3 linked regions of the Alligator mississippiensis genome follow. The protein of the gene in region 1 interacts with the protein of each later gene in a pairwise test. Links are inferred from orthologs where the notes say so. Each region holds a gene or a part of one and is shown on either strand. Other genes may lie near its edges. The genes, in order: NDUFAF3, SNRPA and NDUFAF4.

The links.
Region 2: the proteins of NDUFAF3 (region 1) and SNRPA interact in binary tests that used the Homo sapiens proteins (3 or more experiments, as listed by UniProt). The two-hybrid records come from large-scale screens. The link is inferred for Alligator mississippiensis from reciprocal best matches to the Homo sapiens genes NDUFAF3 and SNRPA.
Region 3: the proteins of NDUFAF3 (region 1) and NDUFAF4 interact in binary tests that used the Homo sapiens proteins (3 or more experiments, as listed by UniProt). The two-hybrid records come from large-scale screens. The link is inferred for Alligator mississippiensis from reciprocal best matches to the Homo sapiens genes NDUFAF3 and NDUFAF4.

Annotation. Positions count from the first base shown.
Region 1 is NC_081835.1:669,533-679,461, forward strand, and holds the start of NDUFAF3 (NADH dehydrogenase [ubiquinone] 1 alpha subcomplex assembly factor 3), read right to left. Parts: upstream 3,839-9,929; 5' UTR 3,803-3,838; coding exon 3,732-3,802; intron 3,657-3,731; coding exon 3,464-3,656; intron 3,382-3,463; coding exon 3,315-3,381; intron 1-3,314. Other genes in the region: DALRD3 (DALR anticodon-binding domain-containing protein 3), read left to right, coding at 7,333-7,509, 7,612-7,913, 7,985-8,253, 8,435-8,493, 8,591-8,713, 8,842-8,912, 9,100-9,158, 9,299-9,381 and 1 more. UniProt on the Homo sapiens protein: Essential factor for the assembly of mitochondrial NADH:ubiquinone oxidoreductase complex (complex I).
Region 2 is NC_081838.1:2,383,678-2,393,665, reverse strand, and holds SNRPA (U1 small nuclear ribonucleoprotein A), read right to left. Parts: upstream 4,312-9,988; 5' UTR 4,205-4,311; intron 3,895-4,204; 5' UTR 3,884-3,894; coding exon 3,811-3,883; intron 3,716-3,810; coding exon 3,543-3,715; intron 3,460-3,542; coding exon 3,283-3,459; intron 3,168-3,282; coding exon 2,997-3,167; intron 2,557-2,996; coding exon 2,468-2,556; intron 2,376-2,467; coding exon 2,216-2,375; 3' UTR 1,850-2,215; downstream 1-1,849. Other genes in the region: MIA (melanoma-derived growth regulatory protein), read right to left, coding at 27-138; ACTMAP (actin maturation protease), read left to right, coding at 4,637-4,836, 4,953-5,021, 5,167-5,291, 5,397-5,526, 5,798-5,868, 6,136-6,446. UniProt on the Homo sapiens protein: Component of the spliceosomal U1 snRNP, which is essential for recognition of the pre-mRNA 5' splice-site and the subsequent assembly of the spliceosome. U1 snRNP is the first snRNP to interact with pre-mRNA.
Region 3 is NC_081824.1:82,860,714-82,870,523, forward strand, and holds the start of NDUFAF4 (NADH dehydrogenase [ubiquinone] 1 alpha subcomplex assembly factor 4), read right to left. Parts: upstream 4,168-9,810; 5' UTR 4,124-4,167; coding exon 3,988-4,123; intron 3,199-3,987; coding exon 3,110-3,198; intron 1,116-3,109; coding exon 822-1,115; 3' UTR 1-821. UniProt on the Homo sapiens protein: Involved in the assembly of mitochondrial NADH:ubiquinone oxidoreductase complex (complex I). May be involved in cell proliferation and survival of hormone-dependent tumor cells. May be a regulator of breast tumor cell invasion.

The sequences.
Region 1 (9,929 bases):
AACACATCTCCTCTCAGGAGAGAGAGGTCAGCAGTGGGGTCCTGCAGGGCTCTGTGCTGGGCCCGCCCGCATTACCAAGGGCTGAGGTTGAGGCCAAGGGAGAGGAGCTGCAGAAAGCATCAAGGCCAGCAACTGGGCAAAACAAAACAGCAGAGGAACCTCAGTGCTGGCCAGCTCAAGGTGCCGCGCAGGAGAAACAACTCGGGCACGGAGGCAGTGCCGAGCGCCGAACCCACTCTTATGACTTGGTCACTGACCTCAGTGCAGAGCTCTGAGAACGGCGGCTCCACATGCAGCAGCTGCCAAAAAAGCCACTAATGCGCCCTGCGCCGTTGGGAAGGGAACCGAAAACAAAAGGGAGGCCAAATCGTGCTGCTGTGCAGAGCCTGGGGCGCCCACGTCTCGACACCTGTGCGCACATCTGGTCTCTGCCTCTCCAGAAAAGGTGGTAGAGTCTTGATGGAGGCCTATAAACCATACAGGGTGTGGACCAAGTGAACAGGGAGCTGCTGTTCGCCACATCCCAGAAGACTGGAACTAGGGGCACCTGCTGCCATGGGCAGGGGACAGCTTTAGCCTTAATGAGGGGAAGGACTTGTGGGAGGGCAACATGGCAGTGCGCAGGCAATCCACAAACTGTCTGGGGTGCTGGAGAAAACGTCCTGGTGCAAGTGCTGAAGAAGCCAAGTAGGGGCCCTGCTCTCCTTGACCTGCTGCTCACAAACAGAGACAACGTGGTGGGGGACGTAGTAGTGGATAGGAACTTGGGCAGCAGCGACCCCCAGATGACTGAGTGCAGGATCCTGAGGAAAGGAAGGACGGAGAGCAGCAGAGTAAGGTCCCTGGACTGCAGAAAAGCAGAATTCAGCTCGGCTTAGCAGGAAACTTCAGTAAACTAAATCTCAAAAAGGAAGCTTATAAGAAGTGGAAACTTGGACAAACAACTAGGGAGGAGGATAAGAGCGTTGCTCGGGCATGCAGAGATGAAGCCAGGAAGGCCAAGGTGCAACTGGAGCTGCAGCTAGCAAGGGACGTGAAGGGTAAAAGAAGGGTTTCTACAAGTATGTCGGTAGCAAGAGGAGGATCAGGAAAAGTGCAGGTCCCTTCCTGAATGGGGGAGGCAGCCTGGTGATGGGATGCAGAAAAGGCTGACGTGCTCAATGCCTTTTTGCCCGTCTTCACTGGGAAGGTCAGGCCCTATACTGCACTGGGCAGCAGTCCGGGGAGGAGGTGAGCAGCCCTCAGTGCTGAAAGATCAGGTTAGGGACTACCTAGAAAAGCTGGACGTGTCCATGGGGCTGGATGGGATGCACCCGAGTGCTGAGAGAGCGGGCTGATGTACTTGCACAGCCACTGGCCATCAACTGTGAAGACTCCTGGCATTTGGGGGAGGTCCCAGTTGAAAGGAAGAGGACAAACATAGTGCCCATTTTTATGAAAGAAAGAGGATCCAGGGAATTACACCAAGAGCAAGTCATGCCTGACCCACCTGATTGCCTTCTATGATGAGGTGACTGGCTCTGTGGATGCGGGGAGACTGGTGGATGGGGGGGGTACCTTGATTTTAGCAAGGCTCTTGATATGGTCTCCCACAGCATTTTCGCAAGCAAGCTGAGGAAGTACAAGCTGGATGACGACTATGGCGGACAGGAAGCTGACCGCAGTGTTGAGCTCAATGGGGAGTAATCAATGGTCTAATGTCTAGTTGGCAGCCAGTATCAAGTGGAGTGCTGCAGGGGTTGGTCCTGGGGCGGGTTTTACTTAATATCTTCATTAATGACCTAGAAGATAACAGAGTGAACCCTTAGGAAGTTTGCAGATGACACTAAGCTGGGGGTGTAGTAGATATGCTGGAAGGCAGGGCTAGGATTCAGAGCTGGACAAATTGGGAGGAGCGGGCCAAAAGAGATCTCCTGGCACTCAGCAAGGACAAGTGTAAAGTCCTGCACTCAGGACAGAACAATGCCACGCACCGGTGCAGGCTGGGGGCTGACAGGCGAGGCAGCAGCTCTGCAGAAAAGCCAAGAAAGCTTCATAGACGTTAGGGCTGGAAGGGACCTCTGAAGATCACCGAGTCCAGCCCCGCGCCCCCGGGGCAAGATGGTTAGCGACATCCTGGGCTGCACTGCGAGGAGCGCTGCTAACACATCGAGAGAAGTGATTCTTCCCCTCTGTTTGGCACTGGCGAGGCCACGTCTGGAGCCCTGTGTCCAGCTGCGGGCCCCCCACCGCAGAACGGACGTGGACACATTGGAGAGAGTCCAGCGGAGGGGAGCGAAGATGGTTAGGGAGCTCGGGGACAGGACTGGCAAGGAGAGGCCGAGGGAACTCGGCTGATTTGGTCTGCACAAGAGGAGCCTGAGAGGGATTGAATAGCAGCTGTCACCTCCCTGCAGGGGGCTGCAAAGAGGATGGTGCTGGGCTGGTCTCAGTGGGGGCAGATGACAGGACAAGGAGCAACGGGCTCCGGCTGCAGCAAGGGAGGTTGAGGTTGGATGTGAGGAAAAACTCTCTCATGAGGAGCGTAGTATGGCACTGGACCAGGCTCCCCAGAGCGGTGGTGCAGTCTCCATCCTCGGAGGTCTTTAAGACACAGGCAGACCAAGCCTCGGCTGGGATGATGTAGTTGGGGCTGGTCCTGCTTGGAGCAGGGGCTGGACTAGACGTGATCCCACGGTCCCTTCCACCCCGGCTCTCTCGGATCCTATGAAGTCCAGCCCGTGGGAGGCGTGAAGGCAGGCAGCACAGGCAGGGTCAACGAGGGACCAGACCAGCGGTGACCGATGGCTGCACGAGGAGCTCCGAGACAGAACGGCCGGGCTGTCCCTGCGGGCGTCTCCCAGCCGAGGGTGTCGCCCTCACCCGGGGCCTCAGCTCAGACCCAGGCTGCGGGGCGCTCACGGGCAGGATGCAGCCCAGGGCACGGGGTGCCAGCCCGGCCAGCGCAGCAGCGAGGGCTCTGGCAACGCAGCGATGGTCCGTGGCCAGTGGGGCCGCGCTCCGCAGCAGGCTGCGCCCAGGAGGCCGGACAGAGGTTCTGGGCCAGATCCAGCACGCGGGCAGCGTGTGCAACACCCCTGCCCCAGGGCACCGATGGTGGGTGCTGGGGGGCCACAGCGAGCGAGCGAGGGAGTGCGGCCTGCAGCCGGCCCTGCCCCCCTCCCTGCGGCAGCACTGCTCGCTCACCGGGGCTGCCAGCTGCGGCAGCTCGCCCGGGGCCGGGAGGGGCCGTCGCTCCAGGCCGACCTGTGCCTGAAGCAGCAAGGGGCAGAGGGGAGCCCGGGGGGCCGCGCGCGCCGCGCCAGGGCACTCACGGATGCGCGGCATCAGCAGGCGGAAGAGCAGGAGGCTCTCGGACGTGATGTCCCGGTGCGACCCCACCTGCGAGACGGCAGTGAGGGACCGCGCCCGAGCACCCCCACTGACCCCGCCCCCTCCCGCAGCCCCGCCCCGCCCCACTCACGTTCCAGGTGAGCAGCGTGGCGGGCAGCAGCATGCAGGGCCCGACCAGGCGCGCCCCGGCCATTGTGAAGCCGTGCGCCGAGCAGCCCTCGAGCAGCGGCCGCCCGCCCGCCTCGCGCTGCAGCATCGACACGAAGGTGCGGGACAGGCGCTCGTCGTCCGTCTGGATCAGCCCGTGCGCGCGGCAGGGCGCCCTAGGGGGACAGGCGGTCACGGCGGGCGCCGGGGGGGGCACCCCGCTCCCCCCCCCGCGGCACCCCCGCACCCACCGGCCCAGCACGACGCGCGGCGACAGCCGCCCCCACAGCCCGTGCGCGCGCAGCGCCATCGCGGTCGCCATGTGATGACGACAGCGCCGTGATGACAGCAGCGCGGCGGGGAGGAACTGACCGCGTCCCCTAGCAGCCCCGCCCCCGGCCCCGCCCGCGCACCTGGCCCCGACACCCGCCACGCCCCCCACGCACCTGCCGCCCGCCACGCCCCGCCCCGCCCCCGGGTCCGGCCTGGCCCGAGCGGCTCCGCCCCGGGGCCCCGCCCGCCCTGCCCCGCCCCGGGGCCACCAGGCCCGGTCCCGACCCCCGCCCCGCCCCGCCCCGCCCCGCCCGCAGGGAGCCGAGGAGCCCGGGGCGGGGCTCGTCGCCGCGAGAGCAAAAGTGAAAGTGCGGCGGCGGCGGCGGCGGGGCGCGATTGGCCGCGGGCGGCGGGAGCTGCGCCCTCCCGCATAAAGCAGCGGGCAAAGGCGGCCGGGCCGGGCCGGGCCGGGCTGGGCCGGCACACGCGGCACCTGCTGCCCACAGGTGAGGGGCCGGGGCCGGGGCCGGGGCCGGGGCCGGGGCCGGGGCCGGGGCCGGGGCCGGGGGCAGGGTGGGGGCCCGCGGGCTGGCAGGAGGCCAGGGTCCCGCAGGCAGACCTCGACGCTCCGGCTCCCCGTCCCAGCACCGGGCAGCACCCGCCGGGCCCAGCCGTGCCAGGGCCTCGCCCAGCCCTCGACGCCCGCGGGGCGGGAGCAGCGGAGCGGGGCGTTGGCGAGCGGCCCGGGCCCTGCGCTGACGCCGACACCCATTTCCCGCGCTCCCCCCCACCCGGCGCACCGCACAGCCCCGCAGGGCCCCCGTGCAGGGGGCAGGGAGGGGCAGGCGGCCCTAGGACACCCTTGGCCAGGGATGGGGGCAGCTGCACGCGGGGGGGGTCCCCGGCTCCAGCACCCAGTGGACACGGGCCAGGTCCTCACATGTGCTGGCGCCCCCGGGTGAGCTGCCCTGGGCCTCGCCGCCGCGGGGGGCAGGCCCCGGGGGTCCTTCTCTGGGCTGGGCGGGGGCTGGGACGGGGCACGCGCCTAGTTCCAGCCTTGCCGGCAACGGAGCCCCCGGGCACTGACTACAGGCCCGGCATGGAAATCCCCTGGCAAGCCAGTGCGCTTCCTCCCTGCCTGGCCTGGCCTGGCCTGGCCTCGCAGGGGGGGCCGGGCGCGGGGCTGGCCAGCCTGGCGCGGGGGAGGGCAGCCCGCGCCCGGGGGTGCAGAGCGGCGGAGTCCAGGGGTGGGGCTGGGTCTCAGGTTTCTGGCACAGCCCCAGCACCAGGTGCGCTGCTCCCGGGCCGGCTCCGCGCCAGGCTTTGTTGCAGGGCAGTGCCCCTGGCACCAGCTCCGCACGGGCCCGTCCCTCTGCCCCGCGGGACAGGACTGGAGCCCGGCTGCAGGGGCCGAGCAGCCCTGACCCCAGCTCCCCCCTACCCGGGGTGCCGTGGGGACAGCTCTGGCAAGTCATCGTCCTCGTCCCCGTGTCCTCGCTCTGCCTGTCTGCCCGCCCCGCGCACGCTGAGAACGGACTCGCCCGCTCCACCCCGGCGTCTGGGCGCCCCGACGCGCGACAGCGGGCAACGGAATCCCAAAAGCAGCTGTCTTCCGCTCGGCACCTCAGCTGCGCTTGGATTTCGTTCCCTGCTCTCCCGCCCGTGCTCCCCCGCCCAGGGCCACCTCGCCGGGGCCCAGATGCCGGCCAGCCCCCACCCCACAGGAGCCCCCAGGAGGAGAGGGGGGCCCGCTGAGCCCAGGCTCTTCACCAGTCTCGTGCTCCTGCAAGCTAAAGATAGACCCTGGCTTCCTGAGGAGAAACCACCACAGCAGCAACAGCTGCCGCAAGCTGCCGGCCACAATGTGGATGTGGCCACCTGCAGCAGGCCGGAGCGGGTGGCGGGATCACGCGATGCACTCGTGCTTCCTGCAGCTCCAAGCGCGGCGCGGGGTGGGGGACAGACACTGGGCTGGCTGCCTGCCTGGGAAGGGCCCTGGCTGCCCGGGACGGACCCTGGAGCCGGTGAGGGACAGCCCTCTGGAGAGAGATTGCTTTGGAATGACACGATCACTCCCGCTGAGCGAGACGCCCGACAGCCATCGGGAATATCGTGTCGGTCCAAAGCTCTTTCGGCGCCACCCGGAGCAGAGCGCGCCCACGGGTGGCCTGGCCCGGCCTGCAACAGCCCCTGCCGCGGACGGAGATGGCCCCAGGATGCGCCCGCCTGGCTGCTGGGACGTGCTGCTGCCCCCCCGCCTGGTGTAACGACGCCGGCGCCTGCCCTACACTACAGCCCCACGCATCGCTGCCCGCCACCATGCTGCGGCAGTGGGGGATGTGTGGACACGGGTCTGCTGCAGCCACCGGCCATCCAGTCGGCGAGGCTGCGGCTGGCAGCCGGGGTGCCCGGGCCTCTTCCTGCCACTGCAGACAGTCAGCAGTTGGTCTGGCGTGAGCAGCATTCTCAGATCACCTCTTGGCTGTGGGTGGTGCAGAGAGCGCCGCACCTTTGCCACAGGCTCCAGCAGGGAAGGGGGCCTGGAGGCCTTGGCAGCCACCTTGAACTCAGGGCAAGGGGCAGCTGTGGGTGCGGGTGTGCATGCACGCGCGGGTGTGGGGGGTGCTTGCCCCAGCAGGTTCCCGTTTGCAGACGCACGTGCCTCGGCGGTAGAGGAAAGAGGAGCCGCTCCCTCGCCTTGTTCCTCTTTCGCCAGCGCACAGCCCCGTCCTTCCCAACCCGGAGCCCGACTCGGGACCACGGGCCCGGCTCCCCCCGCGCCTCCCAGCTCCCGGGCCCCGCCTCGGCCCCAGGCAGCAGGAGCCTCAGTGAAACGGGTGCTGTAAGGGGCTGCCGATGCACAATAAAGCTCCTCCCTGCCTGCTCCTGACTGCTGTGGTCGCTGTTTGCTGCGGGCAGAGATGCCAGCAAGTTCCTTCTGCTTTTGTTTCCAACGGCTTCTCTGCGAGGATCTAGACCCAAGGCGGCTGCGCGGGCCCAGCCCGGAAATCCCCGGGTGTAGCGCCGAGCGCGTGACGAGCCTGCCCGATGCCGCCTGGGCCTGGCCTGGCCTGGTGCCGCACCACAGCCTGGGCGTGCTTGGGGCAGCGCTGCGGGGGAGCGCCACATCCGCAGTGACGCTGCGAGGGGGCAGATGTGACACCGCGGTGTGGTGTGAACAGCCGTGGCTCTCAGCTCGGTCCTGGGCACGTGGAGCCCCCCCTCCACTCCCAGCCCCGCGCTGCCCCGGGGGAGCCGAGCCGGGGTCGCGGCGCACCACGCGGGCCTCGCCCACAGCCCGGGGAAGGCGCCACTGTTGCCACGCCCAACATGGCCTCTGCCCCGCCCCCACCGCGCCACACCCAACATGGCCGCCGCCGCCCCTTGCTTGGCCCAAGATGGCCGCTTACCCGCGTCCAAGATGGCTGCCCGCCGCGCGCTGAGCCACATCCAAGATGCCCGCCGCAGCTCGCCCTTCCGCGCCGTGACCTCACTGCCGCGCGCCGGAAGTGGCCGTTCGTCCGTTGTCACGCCGCGGCTCCGGCCCGGGGTTCCGGGGTCGGCGGCGGCCCGGCAGTCATGGAGACGGGCGAGGCCCGGCTGGCCGTGGCGGACACGCTGGCGGCGCTGAACGCGGCGCTGCGGCGGGACGCGGGCCCCGGGCTCTGGTTTAAGGAGACCAGCGCCCGCAACCTGCGCAGCCGCGACTTCCTGGCGCCGCGCGGCGCGCTGCGCACGCTCTTCCCCGGCGGCCAGGTCGGGGGCGGGGCCTGGGCGAAGGGGCGGGGCCTGCGCAGCCCGGCACGTGCCCAGCGCGGCACGAGGGCCGGGCCGGGGCTCACGGCGCTGTCCCCGCAGGTGCCCGGGGCGGCGGTGGAGGCAGTGCAGGCACTGCGGGGCGCGGCGGTGCCGCCGGTGCGGAGCTGCCAGCAGGGCGTGGCGGGGCTGGCCGTGCAGCTGCACCGCACTGCCGTCTTCCGCCACGTCCTGGCCTCCGCCGACACCTACGCCCGGCCGCCGCCGCCTGCCGCTGCGGTGTCGCCGCGCGTGGTCCTGCACTGCGCCGCCCTGCAGCGCCGCCGCCCCGCGCCGCTCGGCCTGGCCCAGCTGCGCGCCGTCCTGCTGACCGACCACCTGGCTGCGGTGCTCCGGGCATGCGGGTCAGTGGGGCGCTGCCCGGCTTGGGGGGGCGCTCAGGCCTGGCCCCCGTGCTCACGCATTGGTCTCGCAGGGCGAACGTGCGCCTGGTCCCGGCTGCCCCTGAGGACAGCGTCCGCGAGCTCCTGGGCCAGCTGGGGGTGGACTGGCCCTGGGCGCCCGAAGCGCCGTCCCCCCCGGAGGCTGTGGCAGCCTGGAAACGAGCGCTCAGCCAGTGCCCGCACGCCACGGCGAGGGAGCCGGGCCCAGGGGCCGACGGGACGCTGTTTGTGGTGCGCCTGAGGAGCTTCCTGGAGCAGCGGGGCCTGCAGGGCTACGACCCCAGCCTGGACGTCCTCCGGGGTAGCGTTGCTGGTGGCGGGCACGGGGCGGCGGCAGGGCGTGCTTCCTTGCCCAGCGGCAGCGTGCGGCTGGATTGGCGCTTTCTGCCCCGCCGCACGGAGGCAGGACGCCAAGGCAGAAGCCTGTGGGGCGGGGCAGATGGAGAGAGAGGGCCCCTTGCAGAGCTCTTCCCTCCCCGCAGTGACCGAGGAGGAGCTGCGAGCGCTGGCAGAGGTGGAGCGCGCGGCCCAGCGCAGCCTGGTGAGTAGCTGTGCTGCCGCGGCCTGGGCAGCGCGCGGGGGTCGCGGGGCTCGGAGCACACGCGAAGCAGCCCCTGCTGCCCTCGCGCTGTGCGCAGGCCGAGGCCCCGGGGAGCGCCTGCACCGTGCTGCACGTGGTGAGCGGCGAGGAGGAGCTGCAGCAGCAGAAGGCCGACTTGCTCTGGAGGATGCTGGAGCCTGGGGCGCTCTCTGCCGCACAGGTGAGGGGCAGCGTTGGCCTCGTGCCCACCCGAGGGCAGTGGGGGGAGCTCGACCTGCTGTGCTCCCCGGCGAGGGGGCAGGGGCTCGGCTGTCCCCAGCCCAGGCTGATCTCTTCTCTCTCTTTCAGAAACACCTCGTGTGCGGGCCAGTGAAGGCTACAAGCGCTTCACTCCCTGAAGGGGCCTCGCAGTACTACCAGTAAGTGGGGGTCACCAGTCGCTCCCCGGTGCTGCCTGCTGTTGCACTCTGCCAGGGGCGGCACCCAGCGCTGCGGTCGCTGCCTCGGCCAGGCCACGGGTGCTGCTGTTGGCTCTGCCAGCAGGGCCAGGCTCGGCGGTCGCAGCCACGGGGCTGCCTGGGCTCTCACCTGCACTCATCTCCCCAGGCTGCGCCAGCGCCAGCTGCACAAAGCCTCGGTGATGAAGTACGGAGACCTCGCCCATGGTAACGTGTCGCCCGCCACTGGGGGAGAGGAGCTGCTAGCACCCCGGGGCCCTGCCTGGCACATGCAGGAGCAGGCGGTGCGAGGGGAGGCAGAGGTCAGTACCTGCAGCGTCCCTACTCTGCCCCCCTCCTCCGCACAGACGAGTCCTGGACCGAGGTCAGCAGGGTCCTGACCTCCGCAGCCATCCGCTTTGAGATGTTGAGCACAGCCCACCGCAGCCAGGTGAGAGCCACGAGGCTGCCTCATGCCCAAGGACAGCAGCACGGTGCCCCCAGCCAAGCGCCCAGGGTCTCTGCGGACGGGATGACATTGCAGGGCCTTCCCCAGGGCACAGGGGTCCAGGGCTCCCTGGAGCAGGGGTAGGCCGAACTTGGTATTGGGGAGCAGGGAGGTGGGGGACCAGGTGGCCTCTCCCCACAGATCACGCTGGACCTGGCAGATGGCGGCATCTCCACCAAGGGCACCCGGAGTGGGGCCTTTGTGATGTACAACTGCGCCCGGCTGGCCACACTCTTCCAGATGTACCAGCAGGCTGTAGAGCAAGGTGAGCGTGCGCCAGCCCTGCCGGCAGGGTGGGGGAAGTGCTGGCAGGTGGGCCCAGGCTGGGGCTCCGTGCCTAGAGGGTCGCTTGAAGGACTGCAGGGGTGGGAGCGTGGATCTGGCAGGCTGGGCTGTGGAGACGCCAGCATCAGGCACCTGGGGCACAACCCGGGGCTGGAAACCCTTGGCCCCAAGTCTGCACAGCCATGGGCACTGCCCAGTCCGGCCTC
Region 2 (9,988 bases), on another chromosome or scaffold:
TCCACGCCCCCACCCCGGGCACTCACGGCTGCAGTCGGTGTCCGCGCAGAGCTTGCGCTCCGCCAGCTTGTCCATGTGCCAGCCGCCATGGGCAGCCCCCAGCAGGGCACCGAGCAGCAAGACCCAGGCCAGGGCCATGGTGGAGCTCGAAGCGACTGCCCGGCCTGGGGGTGGAGCAGGGGGGTACTGGTGTCCGGCTCCGGTTCTCGTCCCCGGCCTTGGCCTTTTTTCCCTGGGAGATGCCCCCCATACCAGGGACCAGCTGGGGAATGGCGGAGGGCTCAAACCCCCCCGGACTCAGGGGTGCTGAATGAACCCCAGGTGCTGTCGGCTTCAAGGAGGCTGGGGCCCCTGCTGCCACGCTCCAGCCCAGAGCCAGCCGCGCAGCCAGGCCGGGTGGTGCCCAGCTCAGAGAAAGGGGCTGGATGCCAGGACAGGGCAGCTTCAAGAAGCCTCTGTGAAATGTCTCCCTCCCACTCTGCTTTTGGCCCGGGCAGGAGCCGTGAACCTGAGGGCTGGAGCAGAGATGCGGAGCCAGGGGCCGGCCCAGGGAACAGCAGCAGCCGCCCCTGCCACGGAGCAGCCCCAGCACAGTGGGGCCCTTGTCTGCTCTTCCCAGCGGCAAAGGGGCTGGGGGTAGGAGGGGAAAAGCAAGACCTCCTCCAGGCTCGGCTCCTATTGGGCTAGCCGGCTGGGAGGGGGGAGCCCAGAGAAGCCCCACAAGCAGGCAGGGACACAGAACCACCCGCTGTGCCCCCCCACCATGCTCTGGAGGGCAGGGCTATGAGTTAGAGACCTCAACACGTTGAAGGAATGGGCCAAAATAAATCTCATGAGGTTCAACAAGGACAAGTGCAAAGTCCTGTGCTTCGGGCACAATCCCCTGCACCGGGACAGGCCAGGGGCGACTGGCTGCTCTGCAAAGGACCCGGGGGGGGGGACGGGGACAGGAAGCAATAAGCTGAACAGGAGCCAGCAGTGTGCCCTCGTTGCCGAGAAGGCAAATGGGATCCTGGGCTGCATTGGTAGGAGCAGTGCCAGCAGGTCGAGGGCAGTGTCTTCCCTCTATTCGGCACTGGGGAGGCCACATCTGGAGTCCGGTGTCGTTTTGGCCCCCCCCACTACAGAAAGGATGTGGACATACTGGAGAGTCCAGCAGAGAGCAATGAAAATGCAGGGCTGGGGGACAGGACTGGTGAGGAGAGGCTGAGGGAAATGGGCTGATTCAGTCTGCAGAAGAGAAGACTGAGGGGGATCGACTAGCAGCCTTCACCTCCCTGCAGGGGGGTGCAAAGAGGATGGAGCTGGACTGGTCTCAGTGGGGGCAGATGACAGGAGCAATGGGCTCAAGCTGCAGCAAGGGAAGTTGAGGTTGGATACTAGGAAAATGAGGCTGGCGAAGAGAGGTGGGATGATGCAGTTGGGGCTGGTCCTGCTTTCAGCAGGGGGCTGGACCAGGTGTGACCTCTTGGGGTCCCTTCAACCCTCATTTTCTGAGTGTATGCTTTGCTCCCCCCAGCATGTTTGAGCCCCCAGTTCAGGGCAGCAGTGCACAGAGAAGGGGCTGGTGGGGGCTCTGTATGTTTCCCTTGAAGAATAAGGTGTTGCAGGGGCTGGCTCCATAGACGGACTGTCCCCATCCCCATTGCTGGCAGTGGCTGCGCTCCCAGCCCCGTTAGATGCCCTCGTGGCCAGCCAGTCCACGGCGCAAAATCCCGGGATCAGGTAGCAGCTGCTGGAACAGCAGGGAGACTGGGGTGTCCCAGCAGGACCAGTGGGCAGTGCACCCCGAAGCGCCCCCCACCCAGCACCTGGACCCGGGTGAAGGAAGGGGCAGCACCCACCGACCTCTAAAACAAAACAACTTTATTACACAGCGGGAAGCTCCAGGTGCAATGTCTGAGCACCAGACCCTGGGTACAATGCTTTCCATGAGGCCATCAACTGTCTCCCTGCCCTCCCCCACCCACCCGGTCCCGGTCTCCAGGGGCTGCCTTGCTCTACCAAGGCTGGCTCAGCTGCTGGTGGGCATCCGGGGCACTTACCCGCTGGGAGCAAGGGGCTGCTGCGAGTCAGGCACGGTGCATAAGGCTCTGGGTGCCAGGATGGGCCAGCCTGGGAGCACTTACCTGACAGTCAGTACAAACAACATGGGGAGAAAGGGGAATGGGGGCAGCCCTGAGGGATAAGACCGGGACGCGGGGAGGCCATGGCCTCACTTCTTGGCGAAGGAGATCTTCATGGCATTGTTCTGGGTGATCTTGAAGCCCTGGAGGGCGTCGCGGGCGGCCCCGGCCTGCACCTCGTTATCGAACTCCACGAAGGCGATGTCGTGGCGCCCTGGCACCAGCCGCACTTCCTTGAACCCGGGGAACCTTGCAGGGGAGGAAGGGGGAGCAGTGAGGGGCAGCCTCGGCTGCTGGCACCGTCGCTTCCCGCCCCAGCCCCCCTCTCCCCCTAGACTCACTGGTTGAAGAGCATGGAGAGCATCAGCTCGTTGGTCTCCTCGGGCAGGTTGGTGAGGAAGAGGATGTGGTTGGGTGGATTCTCTGAGACCTGCGGGGAGAGGGGCCGGTCGGAGCGGGGAGGGCGGGGGCTGGCATCCCCCTGGCCGGCCGGATGCAAGCAGCACCAAGTCCAAGGACCCGCAGCAGGGACAGGCACTTGCCAGCATAAAGTCCTCCCGCAAGACGAGAATCAAGACTGGCAAAGACGTCACCAGCCAAGCTCCAGCAGGGCCGGCTTCTCCAGGACAGGGACCTGCAGCCCTTAGGCACCCCATAGCCCCAGCCCAGGTGGCATTAGAGCAAGGAGCTCAGCACCAGGTCCTGCTGCCCCCAGCCCCAGCCACGACAGCAAGGCCACGACTCCACTCGCCCCTGGGGAGAAGGGTCCTTCGCCCTCCCCTGCAACAAGGAAGCTTCACCATCCGGAGCCACGGGTGAGTTTGGACAAGACCGAGGGGAGCCCGAAGCCCGGGCACACGCGGCACTCACCGGCTGGGCAGGAGGCATCTGGCCGGGCATCATCTGCTGAGGGGCCATGCCGCCGGGCGCCATGCCTCCGGGAGCCATGCCGGGCGGCGGGATCATGCCGGGCGGGGGCATGTAGGGCGGCTGGCCTGGCATGTGGTGCATCATGCGGGGAGCCTGGTTCATCGCCATCCCCTGCAGGCGGAGGAGAGGACAGCGGCTTAGCCGCAAGGTCCCCGTGCCGGGCACGGCCGTAGCACCCCTGGATGCCAAGAGGGCCCGGCGGGGGCCGCCCCAGGCCTTGACTCACCGGCACGGCGCCCTGCACGGCGTTGGCCACGGGGGCGGCCGCTCCCGGCATGGCCTTCTTGGTCGTCGGCGTCTCCTGGCCCTTGGGCTTCCTCTTCTCCCGCTTGCGGTCGCGCTCCACGTAGGTGCCCTTCATCTTGGCGATGATGTCCGAGTCCGTCTTGGCGTACTGGATCCTCTGGGGAGCAGAGGCCGGGTCAGCGCGGGCGGGGGACGACACCGCCTGGGTCCCCCCCCCGGGCCGCGGGCCCCCGCGCTCACCATGGGCTTGTCGTAGAAGGGGAAGCCCTGCATGGAGCGCAGGGCGTTGGTGGCGCTGCTGATCTCCTTGAAGATGACGAAGGCCTGGCCCCTCATCTTGAGGCTGCGCGACACCAGGATGTCCAGGATCTGCCCGAACTGGGAGAAGATGGCGTACAGGGACTTCTTCAGCTCTGGGGGAGGCAAACGTGGTGGGGGGGGTTAGGCATGGACCCGGCGGGGGTGTCCCGTCCCCCCCCCACCCGGTGCCATCCCTGGGGCCCCTCACCGTCCTTCTTGATCTTCTCGTTGAGGTTGTTGATGTAGATGGTGTGGTTGGGGCGGGCTTCCTGCACGGCCATGGCGGCGGGGTCTGCGGGGGGGGAGCGCGGGGGTCAGCTGGGGGGGAGGGGGTCCTGCCTCCTAAGGGGTCGTGGCCCTTTAAGGGCAGGCCCCGCAGCAGCCCGGACCCAGGGGCACCCCGGGGAGGGGGGGCACCTGGCCCAGACGCCCCCTCCCCCCAGGAGGCGGCTCCACCGGAAGTGGAGGGCTCCCCGTGGCAATGGGAGCTCCCCCAGAAGGGAGGCCTGTGGGGGGGGGCTCTCGGCTCTCCCCCCTCCCCGGAAGTGCCCCCCCAAGAGAGGGCAGCCCGGATGGGGGTCCCGCGGCCCCCCCGCTCTCACCGACGCCGCCGGGCCCGTGGCGCAGCGCGGCCGCCGCAGCGAAAGGGCGCGCGGAGACTGGCCCCGCTCCCTCGGCGCGGGCGGACCAATGGGAGGGCCGCAGCCTCCCCCTGACGAGCCTATCGATGCGGGGCGTCGGGCAGCCAATCCGCTCTGTCCCCACCCCGTCCCTCCCTCCCTCAGCGAACGGGCCAATCCGAGGGCTCCTCTCCGCCCCCGAGCCGGCAGCTGGCTGTCAGTCAAGGCCGCGGCCGCTTCCTATTGGCCGGCCGCGCTCCACGGCGCGAGGGCACATGACCGCCGCGAGGCCCCCTCCACGGGCGCCGCCATCTTGGGCGGGCAGCGCGACCCCGTCCCCCTCCCCCAGCGAGGTCATGCCCTTTGCCCTCTGACCTCTGGCCAATCTCCCTTTGCCCCCCCTTCCCCCTGCCCATGGCCCATAAGGGCGGGGTGGGGTTGCCCCCTCCTGCCCCACCCCCTCCCCCTCGTCCTCCCCCACCCCCATCCCTGCCTCCCCTGCCCCCATCGGGGGGCGCCAAGGCCCACTTCCTGAAGGCGGCCCTGGAGCGTGCGGCCCCCCCGCCCGGCACCGGGGATGACGTGCGGGAGCTGCTGGGGCACCGGCGCGCCAGGTCGGGGTCGCCACAGTGTGGTGGTGGGGGGTCTCGGGGCGGGGGGGGTAGCCCCCTTGCCCCCCGAGACGTCTCCCTGCACGGGGCGCTGAGTGCGGCGGGCGTCTCTCTTCCAGCTTCAGCGGGCGGCGGAAGTGGCTGCTGTACCACCGCCCCGTGCCGTCCTTGATCCAGGAGGGGCCCCAGTGAGTACCGCAGCCGCGGCAGCCGAGACCCCACAGGGGCCCAGGACAGCCGAGATGGCACAGGGGCCCAGGGTGCAGCCGTGGGGCTGGGGGAATGCCCCCCTCAGCCCTGGGACCCCCCTCGACCCCGGCCCCGTGCCCGCAGGTGCGGGCTGGTGGCGCTGTGGATGGCGGGCGCCCTCCTCCGCCTGCCCCGGAGCGTCTCGCTGGAGCGCATCGTGCAGGCGGCGCTGGACAGAGGCTACACGGCGCAGGGGGAGATGTTCTCAGGTCAGCCCCTGCCTGCCCCGGGTTGGCGTCGGAGATGCCCCGGCTCCGGGGAAGGGGTGACGGAGCCTGGAGCAGGGTCTGAGACACGTCCGCCTCCTCCCCCAGCGGCGGACATGGCGAAGCTGGCGGCAGAGGTGTTCCCGTGCCGGGCGGAGCTGCTCACGGGAGGCTTGGAGGGAGCCAACCGGGACAGGATCCTTTGCCACCTTGCTGCTGGCTGCCCCGTGCTGGTGCCGTATCCTTCTCCCACGTGGCCCTCCAGCCGGGATGGGCCCACGCAGCCGTGGCAGGCGGCGTCTGGGTCCCGCCGGGGGGGGGGGGGGGGTGATGTGTCCGCTGTGTCTTTGGAGGGGTAATGGGGGGGGCATCGTGGCTCTCCCTCCACCACCTCCAGGTCTCCCTCAGCCTCGCTCAATGCCCCCGGGCTGCGGAGGTGGCTCTGGGAGGGGTGGCGACGGCGTGGGCATCCCCTCAGGCCCCCCGCTGCAGCCTTGACGAGCGCCCAGCTACGACGAGGACTCTAACCACGAGCCCTGCCGCCGGCGCGGATACAAAGCCCACTGGGCTGTCGTTTCGGGTACGGTCCTGCCTGGCCTGGGTGCCACGGGGCTGGTGAACTGTGCCAGGGGTCTGGGAGCCGTGTCCGGCAATTGCCACGGGCTGGTCCTCACCCCAGGGCGTAGCGGGGCTCTTAGGTGCGGGAGTGCTCAAAGCCTTGGGGGGTGGAAATCTGTTTCAGACTGCGGCCCAGGGGGGGCAACAGCCCACCACCCCTTTGGGGCCAAAGGGCCACATCCTGCTGCTTCCAGGAGCGGAGCTGGGCTGACAGCCGCTGTGCCCGCAGGAGCCCTTCTGGGTCTGAGGCCCGATGCGCCAAGCCCGCCCTGCCGCGAGGACGAGGAGATCCCGGGGCTCTTCCACCCCCGGGGGCCGGGGCCCCTGCCGGCGGGCGTGGAGGAGACCTACCTGCTGGCCAAGCAAGGCAAGAGCTGGCGCTACCAGCTGTGGGGCTACGGGCAGCTGCAGGAGAGCAACGCTCAGCTGACGGACTTCAGCCCCCGGCGGGCGGGCGACGGCAAGGTCTACATCGTGCCCGCGGGCGGCCTGCAGGAGGGGCTGTGCGGCCAGGCCGTGCTGCTGCACCCCAGGCCCTGACGCCAGGTCAGCAGGGACGTGCCCAGCCCCGGACAGGGCCAAGGGGACGCCTGGGTTCCCCACCTTGAGCTCCAGGAGGTGAGGAGGGATCCCGGCCTCCTTTATCCGGTGCTCTGAGGCAGGAGGCACGCTGCCCCGCCAGGCAGGGAAGGGCACCTGGGGACCGGCCCGTGCTTCCCCGGGGAGGGAGAGGAATGCCAGCCTACACCTGCTCTGCTGCAGAAAGACCTGCGGCCAGATCTGCGGCTCCAGGATTGGGCTCAGAAGTCAGCTCAAGACCCGTCCACGAGCCGCGGTAGACCCAGGGACTGCTGGCACCCCGTTTATCCTAATAAACGCACTACTTACCTTCTGCCTTGCCCACGGCTCTCACGGTCCAGGGTCACACCACGGCTTCATTCGGTCGAGCGCTCTTCCTTTCCTAGCTGTTTTCTCCCTTTCGTGACTTGCCCGCTCCTCCTGCTTGGCCCTTTAGAGGCTGTTCCTATCCTTGAGTTGTGGTTATCGGGTATTGATTTAAAGCCCTGTCTGCATCGCTGAATCCTACAGCCGTGGGGATGGAAGGGAGCTTCAGAGGTCGCATCCAGTCTAGCCTCTGGCCGGAGGAAGGATCGGCCCTGTGCAAACCGGCCAGGACTAATCCAGCGTGTATCAAATACTGTTGATCCTGACACAGTGGATCTGACGCCAGAGTTTGCTGCAGGAAAAGCAGCGGGGCTGCAGCCGCCAACGTCGTGCTGCTGTGACCTGTCAGTAATTGCTGAAGAGCCCCCAGGCCGAGGCTGCACCCCCGCTACAGAGGGGACTGTGCCAGGCTGAGCATCTGCCCCAGTGCAATGTGGGGCTGAGCCTGAGCACAGGTGCGGGACCCTGCAGATTGCATTGGCATAGTCCGGTCCTCATCCCCAGCCTGAGCTGCAGGTAGCACCTCTGGGGGGGCTTAAAACCCCCCTGACACATGGACGGGGCGTCCCCCCACCGATGCCTGGTGTCCACCCTGCGGACCCCTGCTCTGCCCTGGAGGAAGTGTTTCTGTATCAGGTGGAGGGACCGGAGGCAGTTGTGTTCAGTGTCATAGATTCATAGATTGTCGAGTCAGAAGGGACCAAATGGATCATCGTGTCTGAGCCCCTGCCCCTGGCAGGAAAGAGGACCGAGGTCAGACGACCCCAGCCAGGTGACTATCTATCCTCCTCTTGAAGACCTCCAAGCTAGGTGAAAGCACCACCTCTCTTGGGAGCCCATTTCAGATCCTGGCCACCCTTACTGTGAAAAATTTCTTCCTAATATCTAACCTAAATCCCCTCTCAACTAGTTTACACCTGTTATTCCTAGTCACTCCCTGGGGCACCCTAGTAAACAGCACTTCCCCTATTCCCCGTTGACCTCCCCTAATAAATTTATAGGCGGCCACAAGATGTCCCCTCAGCCATCTCTTGTGAAGGCTGAAGAGAATCAGGTCTTTCAACCTCCCCCCGTAGGGTCTATCACGAAGGCCACTCATCATGCGAGTGGCCTCCTCTGGACCCTCTCCAGATTCCCTGCATCTCTCTTGAAGTGCGGCGCCCAGAGCTGGACACACTACTCCAACTGCGGCCTGGCCAGTGCCGCATAGAGGGGGAGCATCGCCTCCTTTGATCTATTAGTCATGCAGCTGCTAATGCACTTCAAGATGTGACTGGCCTTGTTGATGGCCTCGTTACACTGCCGGCTCATGTTCATCTTGGAGTCAATTATGACTCCAAGATCCCTCTCTGCCTCCGAGCTACTGAGAAGGACACTCCCCAACCTATAGGTGTGCTGGGGGTTCCTCCTTCCCAGGTGGAGTACCTTATATTTATCTTTATTAAATTGCATCCTATTTCTCTCTGCCCATTGATCCAACCTGTCCAGGTCAGCCTGAATCTGCTCCCTGCCCTCCTGTGTACTAACTTTGCCCCATAACTTGGTATCATCAGCGAACTTGGAGAGGGTGCTCTCCATGCCCTTGTCCAAATCGCTGATGAAGATATTGGATAATATCTGTTGGAGGACCGAACCCTGCGGGACCCCACTGCCCACCTCCCTCCAGGCCGAGAAGAAACCATCCACCACCACTCTGGTGCGGTCCCTAAGCCAGTTGGCCACCCACCTGACCGTGTAGGCGTCCACTCCACAGTCTGCTAGCTTCCCAACGAGGACAGGGTGCGAAACTGTGTCAAAGGCCTTCCTAAAGTCCAGGAAAATGACATCAGCCTCGGCTGGAAAGCAGGGTGAGTGCACACTCAGCACCTTCGCGGATGACACCGCGCTGGGGGGAGTAGCAGATGCGCTGGAGGGCAGGGCTGGGATCCAGAGGCTTTGACGACCAAAAGGAATCTCATGACTGAGGTTCAATTAAGGACAAGTGCAAAGTGCTGCGTTTAGGACAGAGCAGTCCCATGCACCGGGACAGGCTGGGGGTGACGGGCTGGGCAGCAGCTCTGCAGAAAAGGACCTGGGGCTGACAGTGGGCAATAAGAGGGATATGAGCCAGCAGTGTGCCCTTGTTGCGGCATCCTGGGCTGCATCGGTAGGAACGTTGCCAGCAGATTGAGGGCAGTGATTCTTCCCCTCTATGGGGCACTGGGGAGGCCACATCTGGAGTCCCTTGTCCAGCTGTGGGCTCCCCACGACAGAAAGGGTGTGGATACGTTGGAGAGAGTCCAGCGGAGGGCAAGAGCAGGGGGTTGGAATAGATGTGACCTAAGGGCCCCTCAAACTGAATTTTCTATGATCTCCAAAATCAATTCATTTTGCTGCCTCTTCCAGCCATGGCTCCGTGTCCTCCTCTCTGCCCTGGGGAGCGCAGGCGCTTGCCCTCCTTGCTGCAACTGCCCTTCGGATCCCTGCAGCCCGCTCCCAGGGCCCCTCCAGCGCCTTTTCCGCCGTCTGAACCAGCCCAGTGCCACCTGCTGCTCTGCTCCGCTCCTCCCCGCCTGGGCTGCACTTTCTGAGCCCATGGGCATCTTTGTTGCCGCCTCTGGACCCTTGTTAGCTTCTCCATGGCCTTGCTCAAAGCCTGGAGCCCACCCAGGCCTTGTCCCGGTGCCTCCCAAAAGCCTCTGATGGCATCCATCCCGTACCGAGGGTCCTCTCTTGCAGAGCAGCTGGGTGGCATGGACATCGGCAGCCATTTTTTTATGGTGCATTGCCCCCTCCCAGTCCCATGAGCTTGGCGCTGCCTGCACTAGCCTGGAGGAGCGGGCGGGCCTCCGTGCCAACCCCAGCAGCCGTGTGAGCTGGGCAGGCTGGGACACATGAGGGCCACCAGGGGGCGCCTTGTGCACATGGCACAGCCGGAGCTGCGGATCCGGATCGGGCCCATCAGGGTGCCCCCTCCTTGCCCGGATGCCCCTTTGCGCCCATGGAGCTGCGTGGGCTGAGACCAAACCAGCTCATAACTCCCCCAGGGGTGCATGTGCTGGGGTTTATTTTGCGGGGGTGGGGGTTGGGCATGGCTGCCTAGGCCACCATTGCCCCTTGTACAGATGGGAAAACCGAGGCAAGCGAGGGCAGGGTAA
Region 3 (9,810 bases), on another chromosome or scaffold:
AGGGAAGTGGAAATAGTGCAGAACAGGCACGGATAATGACATGGAAAAGAGTAGCCAGCCAAACTAACAACTATGCACTAACCCATGTCATGAGGTAAGCCATACCTAGATGTAGGTGCCAAACAAAACTGCAAGTAGCTTGAAACTGGACAGAAAACTATGGTAGTTGGGTCCACCCAGAATGGAATGGATAGTTGGCATTATTGCTTCATTCAATAACATTCTGTACAGGCATTACTATTTTATGTTTTAAAAAGAAGGGCAGAAGCATTTCCTCAGCACCTTCTTTTGCTCTTAGAATCCAACAGCAAATTTTTTCATCTTAAAAATGAGACAGGGTGTTTGTACTGCAAAGCTGGATAATTTGGAGAGAATTTCTATGTGCTTGAAAATTCTGTGTGACCCTACCCAAACTATGTTACATAAATAACAATAAAAACAAGAATAAACTTTCACAGTAAGTTAATATATCATTGATTCAACTAACATCCAAAGTCATCAAATGAAAAACATTCTCTCACAAGGAAGTAGCAATTTCTTTTTAACTAAATCTTTCCCCCAGAATTGGATTAATTTGAATAGGTCATTTATTAATCCTAACATATTGCCACGTTTCTTGCAGATTTCAACTGCCTCCTAATCTAACACGAGTAAAGTAGATTATGAGCCAAAATATAATTAATGTGCTTGCCCAAATAAATGTAGGAGTCATTTAAATAAAATAACTTATTGTTACATTTCAACAAATTCCAGGACAAATGATACATTTTAAGATTAAAATGAAAACACCAGAGAAATTAAACAAGTTCTGGCAACCATTTTTACGTAGATTTGATATATTTTTTATCTTCAGATGAAGGAATTTCCATATTAAAAACAGCAAGGTATTTTAGAAGAGAAGTGACATCCTTCAGGTCCAAACTATATTCCTCTGCTATTTTCTCTGCAGTCCATGTTTCAGGATGCAGTCTATGATTATTAAGAAAAGTCAAAAGCTCCACAGTAGAAATTTTGCCTTTGGGAACGCGGTGAATATCTAGAGCACTATAACGACCTAGTTTTGTAAGTCTGTATTCCTCCTCTTTACATGGGAGACCTTCACCTTCAACTTTTACCTGGAATAGTAAGAAAAGAAAAGAGTTCAAATCAGTAGGATGCATTTATTTTGTAAATTGTACAAGCCCTACCTATTTCTTTAACAATAACTTTGCCTTTTAAAGGGGAGGGAGGGACAGGAAAGGGACACCCCTCTCCTGTTTACTAGTCCTAAGAAATGAATGCTCATGGACTGTTCCACACTCTCCTAAAAATGCTTTATTTTCCAAGTACAAAAGTTCCCAGCAACTATAGTATACAATGAAATCATCAGCAAAGCTAACTGCACTTTATCATGTATCAGCAGATAACATGACAAATAGAACCAAGAGGGTGATAGATTCTCCCCTCTATGAGGCATCGGTCAGAATGCAGTTGGAGTACTGCATCCAGTTTTGGGCGCCGTACTTTAAGAAGGATGTGGATAGCCTGGAGAGGGTCCAGAGGAGGGCGACTAGTATGGTTAAGGGTTTACAGGCCAAGCCCTATGAGGACAGACTAAGGGACCTGGACCTCTCCAGCCTTCGCAAGAGAAGACTGAGAGGTGATCTTGTGGCTGCCTACAAATTCATTAGGTGGGGTGCAACAAGGTATCAGAGATGCCTCTTGGAGTAACAAGGAACAATGGTCACAAACTGACGAAGAGCAGATTTAGGCTACACATCAGGAAAAACTTCTTCACGGTAAGGGTGACCAAAATTTGGAATGAGCTTCCAAGGGAAGTGATGCTCTCCTCTACCCTGGGGGTTTTTAAAAGCAGGTTGGAAAGGCATCTGGCTGGGGTCATCAGACCCCAGCACTCTTTCCTGCGCAGGCAGAGGGTCAGACTTGATGATCTGTTGAGGTCCCTTCCAACCCTGGCATCTATGAATCTATGAACGACCAAATATCTAGCACCCAGTGACCCACTTTCTGAAAACCCAAGCACAGGCAAAACTCCTGCAAACTTCAGTGAAAGTTCTCAGCCATCAACATCTTTGGAGGGGAAGTAAAAAGCTACAGATTTCTATATTTCAACCTGACTGTAGATGCTTAATGTCAAGTAATGACATGTGAAAATGCTGTCCTACATATTTAACTTGACATCATTTGCCTATGTTTGCATCAGAGCAGATACTTTCTACTCTTCATCTTCTAGTAGAACTTAAAAAGAATATAAATGGGAGAAGAAAGGATGACTTTTTCTGGAAACAGTTTCTTAGGTTGTAAAAAACAATCCACACCTACCCACCCAAACCACCTCCTATACATTTTACAACTTTCCTTTTCCTCTGGTCCAGTTTGGTTTGTTTGGTTTTTTTTCATTTGAAGCTTTGGTGCAGTTTTATACCTTCTAGTTTTGTTCTGTGAATTTCTCAAAATGTTCTTAGCATCTCTTCATACTTCCCTTTCCAAGTTTGTTTCAAAATCAGCTATCAAGCTCCCTGCTCCACACTGGGGGCTGGGAGGGAAGGGGAGGAAAGTAGCCTTTATGTCCCAAGACCAAGAGAACTTCTTGCAAGCCCACAGCCACTGGTTAACTCAAGTCATCAAGCATCAGCTTTTATCTGAGCTAAATTTTAAAGCATATTGAGGCTTCAGCCATTCACTGAAGGGTGAATCATTTACAGAGAATACTTAACCTCACACAGCAAAACCATCTTGTTTTAGTCCATTCTAAAAGTAACAGGGTAGATGAAGACACCTGTGTGGAAGACGAGGCAAACCAGGGCATCAATACAGACTGAAAGTACCCTTAACAAATTGCACTGGACCCCAAATTTGGGATTATATCAAGCAGAATAAAATATATAGACATAAGACCTTGCTGGCCAAAACTCTGCCTTTGTTAAAGTGGGGACTGCATCTGAAACAAATCAACCATCAATACCTATTTTTTTAAAACAGTTAGCTTCTGGGCACTAAGGCAACAAGTTGCACCAACTCCCCCCCCCCCCCCAGTTATGGATATCCTTATAGTTTGGCCACGTGAAGAACGGATACTGCTGTGCACTCGCTGCGGAAAGAGACTCACTTCCATGGGTGGATCCTTGGAATCGACATAGACATTTTTTAATAAGGCAAGAAGCCTGTTGTCTTTTTTCTGGATTTCATGTTGGATTTCTAGATAGTAAAAAGGAGAGAGAGAAAACACATACCATATACTCTCCTTGGCTTGCATTTAATAATAGCCAATCCCCACCCATCACCAGTTTGAATATATGGGAAGGTGAGGTGCCCCTGCATGTTTCTCAGAGGGAAAAAAAAGGCTGGTTGCTGCAACCGCTGCAACATCCCCAAGCTCCAGTGCGTGCAAAGGATCACACTGAAGCACTGGAACAGGTTTCCCAGAGAGGTGGTGGAGCCTCCATCCCTGGAGGTTTTTAAGACCCGGCCAGACAAAGCCCTGTCTGGGACGATCTAATTGGGGCAGGTCCTGCCTTGAGCACGGGGTTGGACTAGACCAGAGCTTCTCAACCTGTGGGTCACAAGAATATACTAAAGGGCGGGGAACCAACATGAAAAATGGACTCTCCCGTAAAGGAGAAAAACAGGGGAACCCGCAGCTTTTCCCTTGCAGCCTAGCACTGCCCCAGCCTCCGAGGGGCAGCTTGGGGGCCCTCCTGTGCCACACACTGGGGGGCAGCAGGTCGGGAGCGAGGGGCATTGGCCATCTATATTTACAAACGGGGCCTGGTCCCAAAAGAAGTGGAGATCCCTGCACGCGATGACCTCTGTCCGACCCGCGCTTTCTGTACATGTGGGTCTGTGACCAAAGGGCCCAACGCAAACCAGCCCCGGGCCCCGGTGCAACCTGCCACACCTCCCGCTGCTCGCCAGGACCCGTGCCGGGACCGCCCTGCATGGGCCCAGGAACAGCAGCTCCCGGCATGACGCGCGCGCGACACTCACCGGGCGGCTTGGCGGGCCGGGCCGTGGGGTACTGCGGCGCGGGGGTGGGCTTGGGCCGGTCGAGGACGCGGAACGCGCGGTTCTCCACGTTGAAGTTGCGGAAAGCGCGGACCAAATGGTCCCATATGATCCGCATGGCCGCGCTCACCGCCCAGTGTCGCCGCGCATGCGCAGGCGGGTGGTGGCGGCGGCAGAGGACGCCGCTTAGCGGCTGGAGGAGCGCGGGGCGGGGCGGGGGCAGACAAGGGTGAGGGAGGGGCGGAGAGAGGGGCGGCTGCTGCTGGGCTCCCGGGTTACCGAGAGGCTGGGCCGGGCCGGGCCCGCCAGGGGTCGCGGGGCCCAGCCCCGTCTGTGCTCTAGCCATGAGGTCTGCCCCACCTCCGCCCGGGGCTGCCAGCCGCCCCGTCACACCACAGACCTGACAGCAGCCTGCCCGGGCAAAGCAGGGGAACATCTACACTTACGTTGCTGCAACTTCAGGCCACTGGTCCGCGTCCTCCTCTGCAGCGAGAGTGAAAAGGTGCTTTCCCTCTTATTTATGGTAGCCCTTCAAGTATTCATGTCCCCTCTTAAGCATCTGTTCCGCAGAGGCATGTTCAAATTAAAAAATGGCTAGAAGCCAGCTCTGCAGTTAGTACACACTGTCGGGCACGGACGTTGTAGCTGGTCGGCTCTTTTTAGAGCTCGCTGGACATTGTTACAGTGTGATCATTACTTTGTGCATGTGGCCAGTCTCAACTGATTGCGCGATTGGCCAGTCAGTTGTGCAGTACATATAAAGGGTCGCAGGGTGAGTAGCAATATTTTACTCAGTTGCAGGAGAAACGAGGCAGCTAAAGGCAACCATGATTCAGCCTCAGGCAGGGGGTTGGATTAGATGACCTAGTCTAGAGAGCCCTTCCAGCCCTGCTTTTCTATGCTTTCTATGAAAAGGGAGGAAGAATCGGAGTGCTTCCCAAACCTCCCAAACTTTCTTTATCACAGTATCACAACTGGCCCTTTTTTTCCCTCTCTCCTCTGACTTACCATCTTGGGTACTATTATATGGCCCAACAGACAAAACTGCTACTTTTTAGATCTCCTGAGAGTACTCTGGAAGCATGGAGGTCTACAGAGTTGCAATTAATTTTGGAAAATAAATAAATAAAAGGAAAATGTTCTACCCCAACAGCAATGACAGATCGATCCATTATTGTTGCTAAAGAATTATTAGTGTGTTTGCCGGGTGTGTGTTTGTGTAACCGGATCTTTGTTGTTGCTCCTAGGCAAAAACATCTTTCTTTATGTCTGCAAACCTACACATAAGTTATCGCTTCTAGGTCAATACAGCTTTTTATGTGGGTGCATTAGGGTTCAAACTTTATCTTTTTAAAGATTCACTGACCACTAAAACTCACAATGAAAAAACCCTAGGCATTCAGCATCCCCCTCCCTTCTGAGTGGGGACCAGGTGGGTGCTGGAAGCCTCAGTGCAAGGAGAGTGGGTGTGCTCCCGAGGGAAAACTACAGAAGAATCAGACCACATCTATGACCATCTCTGTTGGGGTAAAGATAGAAATGTCCTCAAGATGGCAGGCTAATCTAGGGTTTTCATTTTGTAGAATTTCAGTCATTACTGTATGAATCCCGTATTTTTTCAGCATTTTAAAACTAACCACGGCATGGTATAAGAATTGCTGTTTTACAGCTGAATTGTAAGTATTTTTTTTTAAACTTAAGGGTGTCCATGACCCTGCACAGATTATAAAAATATAGGTCAAAAAGACTCATTAACATAAACATCTAAATAATCCAGATCAGTGGAAATGTCAATGCAATAGATACATCTATTTGAACCTGAAACCAGAATCTAGCCAAATTCTGGTTAATATTCTAATTGAATCTTTTTATAGCGAGTGGTCCTGATAGTATGTGGAAGAAGGCCATATAGCAGGGCCATAGAAATGCATAGGGAAACTAGGCACATGCCTAGGGCCCTAAGTGAAGAAGGGGCCCGGTAGTGCTTATTTTACATATTATAATTATTGAGTGAGAAAAATAGAGGCCCACAAGGTTGTTTGCCTAGGGCCCACTAAAGGGTTAATCCAGCCCTGCCATTCAGTGTATAATTCATTAAGTTTACCTTTTATTTTTATTACATTTTAGATTGCTCCTAAATTTATGACATTGTGTATGATGCGAAATAGTGGAGCCAGTCTAAAGTTGTGACATTTATTACTGTGTTGTTCCAATTACAAGGAAGGCTTTTTTTTTCCTTCCAAAAGAACAATAAAAATCCTCCTCTACCTTTATGTGGGATTGATGTATAATTGGAACAATATGTCCGTGTGACACTGGCCAAGCCATGTGACTCTTATGCGTGCTGTGCAAGGTCATCTAGTCCTTAATGGTGGCAGGCTCAACTTATATAGAAAAGGAGCTATGATGGCTGTGTGACCCATGTTGTCAGCATGATGTAGTTCTTAGGATCTACCAGGAGCAGGAGGCAAGCAGTAATCTCTCAAGAAGCTAGTAGTTTAGAAGTCCAAAGAGCCCTTGACCAGGGAACGTGGAGCTAGGCAGCCTTGCATCCCCAGCTGAAGCCACAAAGCCAGAAAACAGCCCACAAAGGAGGCACAGAATTTACACTTACTATGTGGTAGGAGCACAGAAAGCACTGTACAGCCATGACCAAACAGATAGGTCACACAGAGCCTGTAAAAATGGTGGATCCCTATCTAAAATAACTCTGGATGGATGTGGATGCGAATTCCATCTGCCCGTCAGTACATTTGTAAGGAGTGCTGCTTTTGATTAAGTGCTGTGCTGATTGTGGACACCACATTCACATAGGGGGCTCTCCAAGATGTTCATCTAATACTGTGCTGTTAAGAAGCATCCCTATCCAGCACAGCCCTATCTGTCTCTTTAGCTTGACCCATGCTTCTCTGTCAAAGTTGTGCCCAATGGGGAACTCATTTGGTGTTGGTATAAAATTCTGTAGGAATACATTTCAGACTAGATTACTCTGAATGATCATTTAATTTCCATTCACCCCACCCCTTATCTAAATTTAGTGCAATACACAAGGCTACAATACCTGGCCTGCTGGACTCTCTGTGGGCCCAAAAACCTGGTAGCAGGGGAGTGGTTAGGATCTGTCTTCTTATGTCACTTGGTCTAATGCCCTGGAGTACAGGGAATATATGTGTGTGTGTACGCTGTGTAGCCTGTTTTGAGTCTCAGTGCACTGTTAAGTACAGTGCTGAGCTTTTTAGTGCAACAACGTCTGGACCATACAGGAGCACAGTAATCTGCTGGGGTGTATACCATTGCAAATGCAGTGGTTCTGAGCACTTTGAAGTTGTTGTGCTATGTTTGCTAGTTAAATGTCTGAAGACAGCTACCTGTGCAGAAACTTTACTCCAGAACTTCTGAATGAGATGTGTATAGGTGATGGTATAGTCTAATGTGATTTCTTGGTAAGTTGCTCTTGACTCAGTGTGGAAAACTGATTGTCCATATGGAAGACAGATGATCCTGATTTATTGATAATCCCCCATGGATCTCTGGCCTCTTGAACACCTTGCCCTCACAACTCCATGACAGTGGCCAGGACCCCATACTGTTGTTGGGAGTTTATCTGTCTGCATTATGTTGAATGACCATAAATCTGGTTAACTGTCAACTGGCCACCCCATCGCTCAAGGTCACGTTGCTTGCCTGAGAGAGGCCAGTGCATTGATGCAGAACCACTTTGCGCAAAATGGCACCCAAAAAGACTCTGAAAGACACTGAAAACTTTCTTCTGAGCCACACAGCTGAGGTGTAACTAACAGTTGCAACTGTAGGTTTTTGCTAGTGTGTGTCCAGGCACTGTTCAGCAGAACACCTACTTATAAGCACCATGACAGGTAAGATGCAGCAGGAAATGGGAATTCTCCAATCAGACCCTCCCCCCTTCATTTTCATCTCAGAAAACTGGAAAAGGCTCATTCCTCTGGGCCCAAATGCTTCAGTTCCCAGTTCCCACAGCAGGGAAATAAAACCCAGGCATCCAGGTTTTCCCAGCTGGGAGGTGGAATGCAGGTGTTCCAGCACGTGGTCAGTGCCAGGTTGTGAGCAGCTGTCTGGCTTCCAGCCCCAGGCAGGAGAAGGGGTCCAGACAAGGGGACTCACCAGACAGGTATCTTAGTGTCTTCTTTGTCTGGAAACTGGGCACGGTAAGCCCTGTCGTGGAGCCCAAGATGCTAGATCCAGGATAGTCAGCAGAAGCATGTGCGTAGAGGGTGCCAGTGAAATGAGGACCAAAGGAGGACCAACTGCCCACTCAATGTGGGCAGTTGGATTAGACAGGTTGGTGATTGCTTGCACCTACACTGCCATGGCACTTGAATGAGCCATCCGTCTCAGGAATGTGCTGCAAAGGTCCAAGAATGGGGGTCTCAAGATGGCCACCCACTGTCTAAGGGAGGTCACTCTTGCTGCTATGGAGTTGAGAGAGTTGTAGCACCAGGATAAGGAGTTTATGCATAGGGTCAAAGACCTCCTAGGATCCAGCCAGGATACCTTTGAGTGGTGTCAGCGCTGCCTCCCACAGGGAGACTGTTGCCCTCCTGGGCAGGAGTGGTAGAGCAAGCTGCTACCCATCCCTCCCACCCCAGCATGGAGAGCTCTGCTCTGGTGACTCCTCTGTGGGGCAACATGCCACAGAGGCCAATGGAGGGGGTCCCTGGGTGGCAGCTGTGGAGGAACGCTTTACACTGTGCATTGAATTAGGAGATGCTGGGGGGCAGGAGAGCCCCAGAACAGGAAATCTGGTGCATGAGAGCCCCTGACCTGTGGTCCAAGAAGCCAGGAACACTCCTTGGACCACAAGTCAGGGGCTCCCATGTGCCAGATCTGCTCCAGGGTCCCCCAGTCCCTCTGCCCAGGTCCCACTGTGGGGGAGTGGCGTAGCCTCTGCGGGGATAGACAGCCCCCTGGGCTCATGTCCACAATTGTTATTTATTATGCACACATGATGTTTGGCAGCTATGCAATTTAATTAAACCAAGGGAGGCAGTTTCACGTGAGGCATTCTTCCTGCCACCCCAAGGTCTCATGTTTAAGTTGAGCCCCCATGGCTGCCCACTCCCTTCCCCCACTCAACATCATAACTGCCCAGTATAGCCATTGTCTTTCCCCAGTCTCTAAATGCTAACTGAGAAGATGGTTCCAAGTTCTGGAGCAGGCCACATTGCAGTTTTTGTTTAATAAACACACTAAAAGTTTGACAGCTTCAAAACTTGATTAAAATGAGGCAAGTCTTTCCCTCTGCCTACATTACCCCTCAGCCCTGGTTTGTGCCCCTCTGGGAAGTTGAGGAGGGAGAGGGGAAGAAGAATGGTGCCTGGATAGCCAGGGTTGTGATCAGTGGTGCCCCTGATGCAGGGCCAAAGGAGCCCATAGAAGGCGACCCATGGCCCAGTGTCAGGGTGTGGGTACTCAAAGCCCTCTGGCCCTACTCATCCAGGGAGGGCTTCTGGTCCGCATGGGTGAGGAGGAAGTCAGCTACGTCTTCAAGGATGTAGACAGCCTGCCGCGGTGTGGGGCTGCAGCCACGCACATCAGTAGCAGGCTTGCCCTCTCCCCAGTGCTTGCACCATGTGTGGTCATGATGCCAGACCTGGTCCATAATTGAAGTTCTTCCAGTGGTCCAGCTGTCCCCCATGGAGCCTCATGAGCCAGGGCAGGAGGGGTAGGCCAGGCCCCTTAAGAGGTTTGGGGGGGTGATGACTTCTTCAATGACAAAATCAGCGATCCCTGGAGCATAGTGCCCATGCCCCATCACCCCAGGGAATG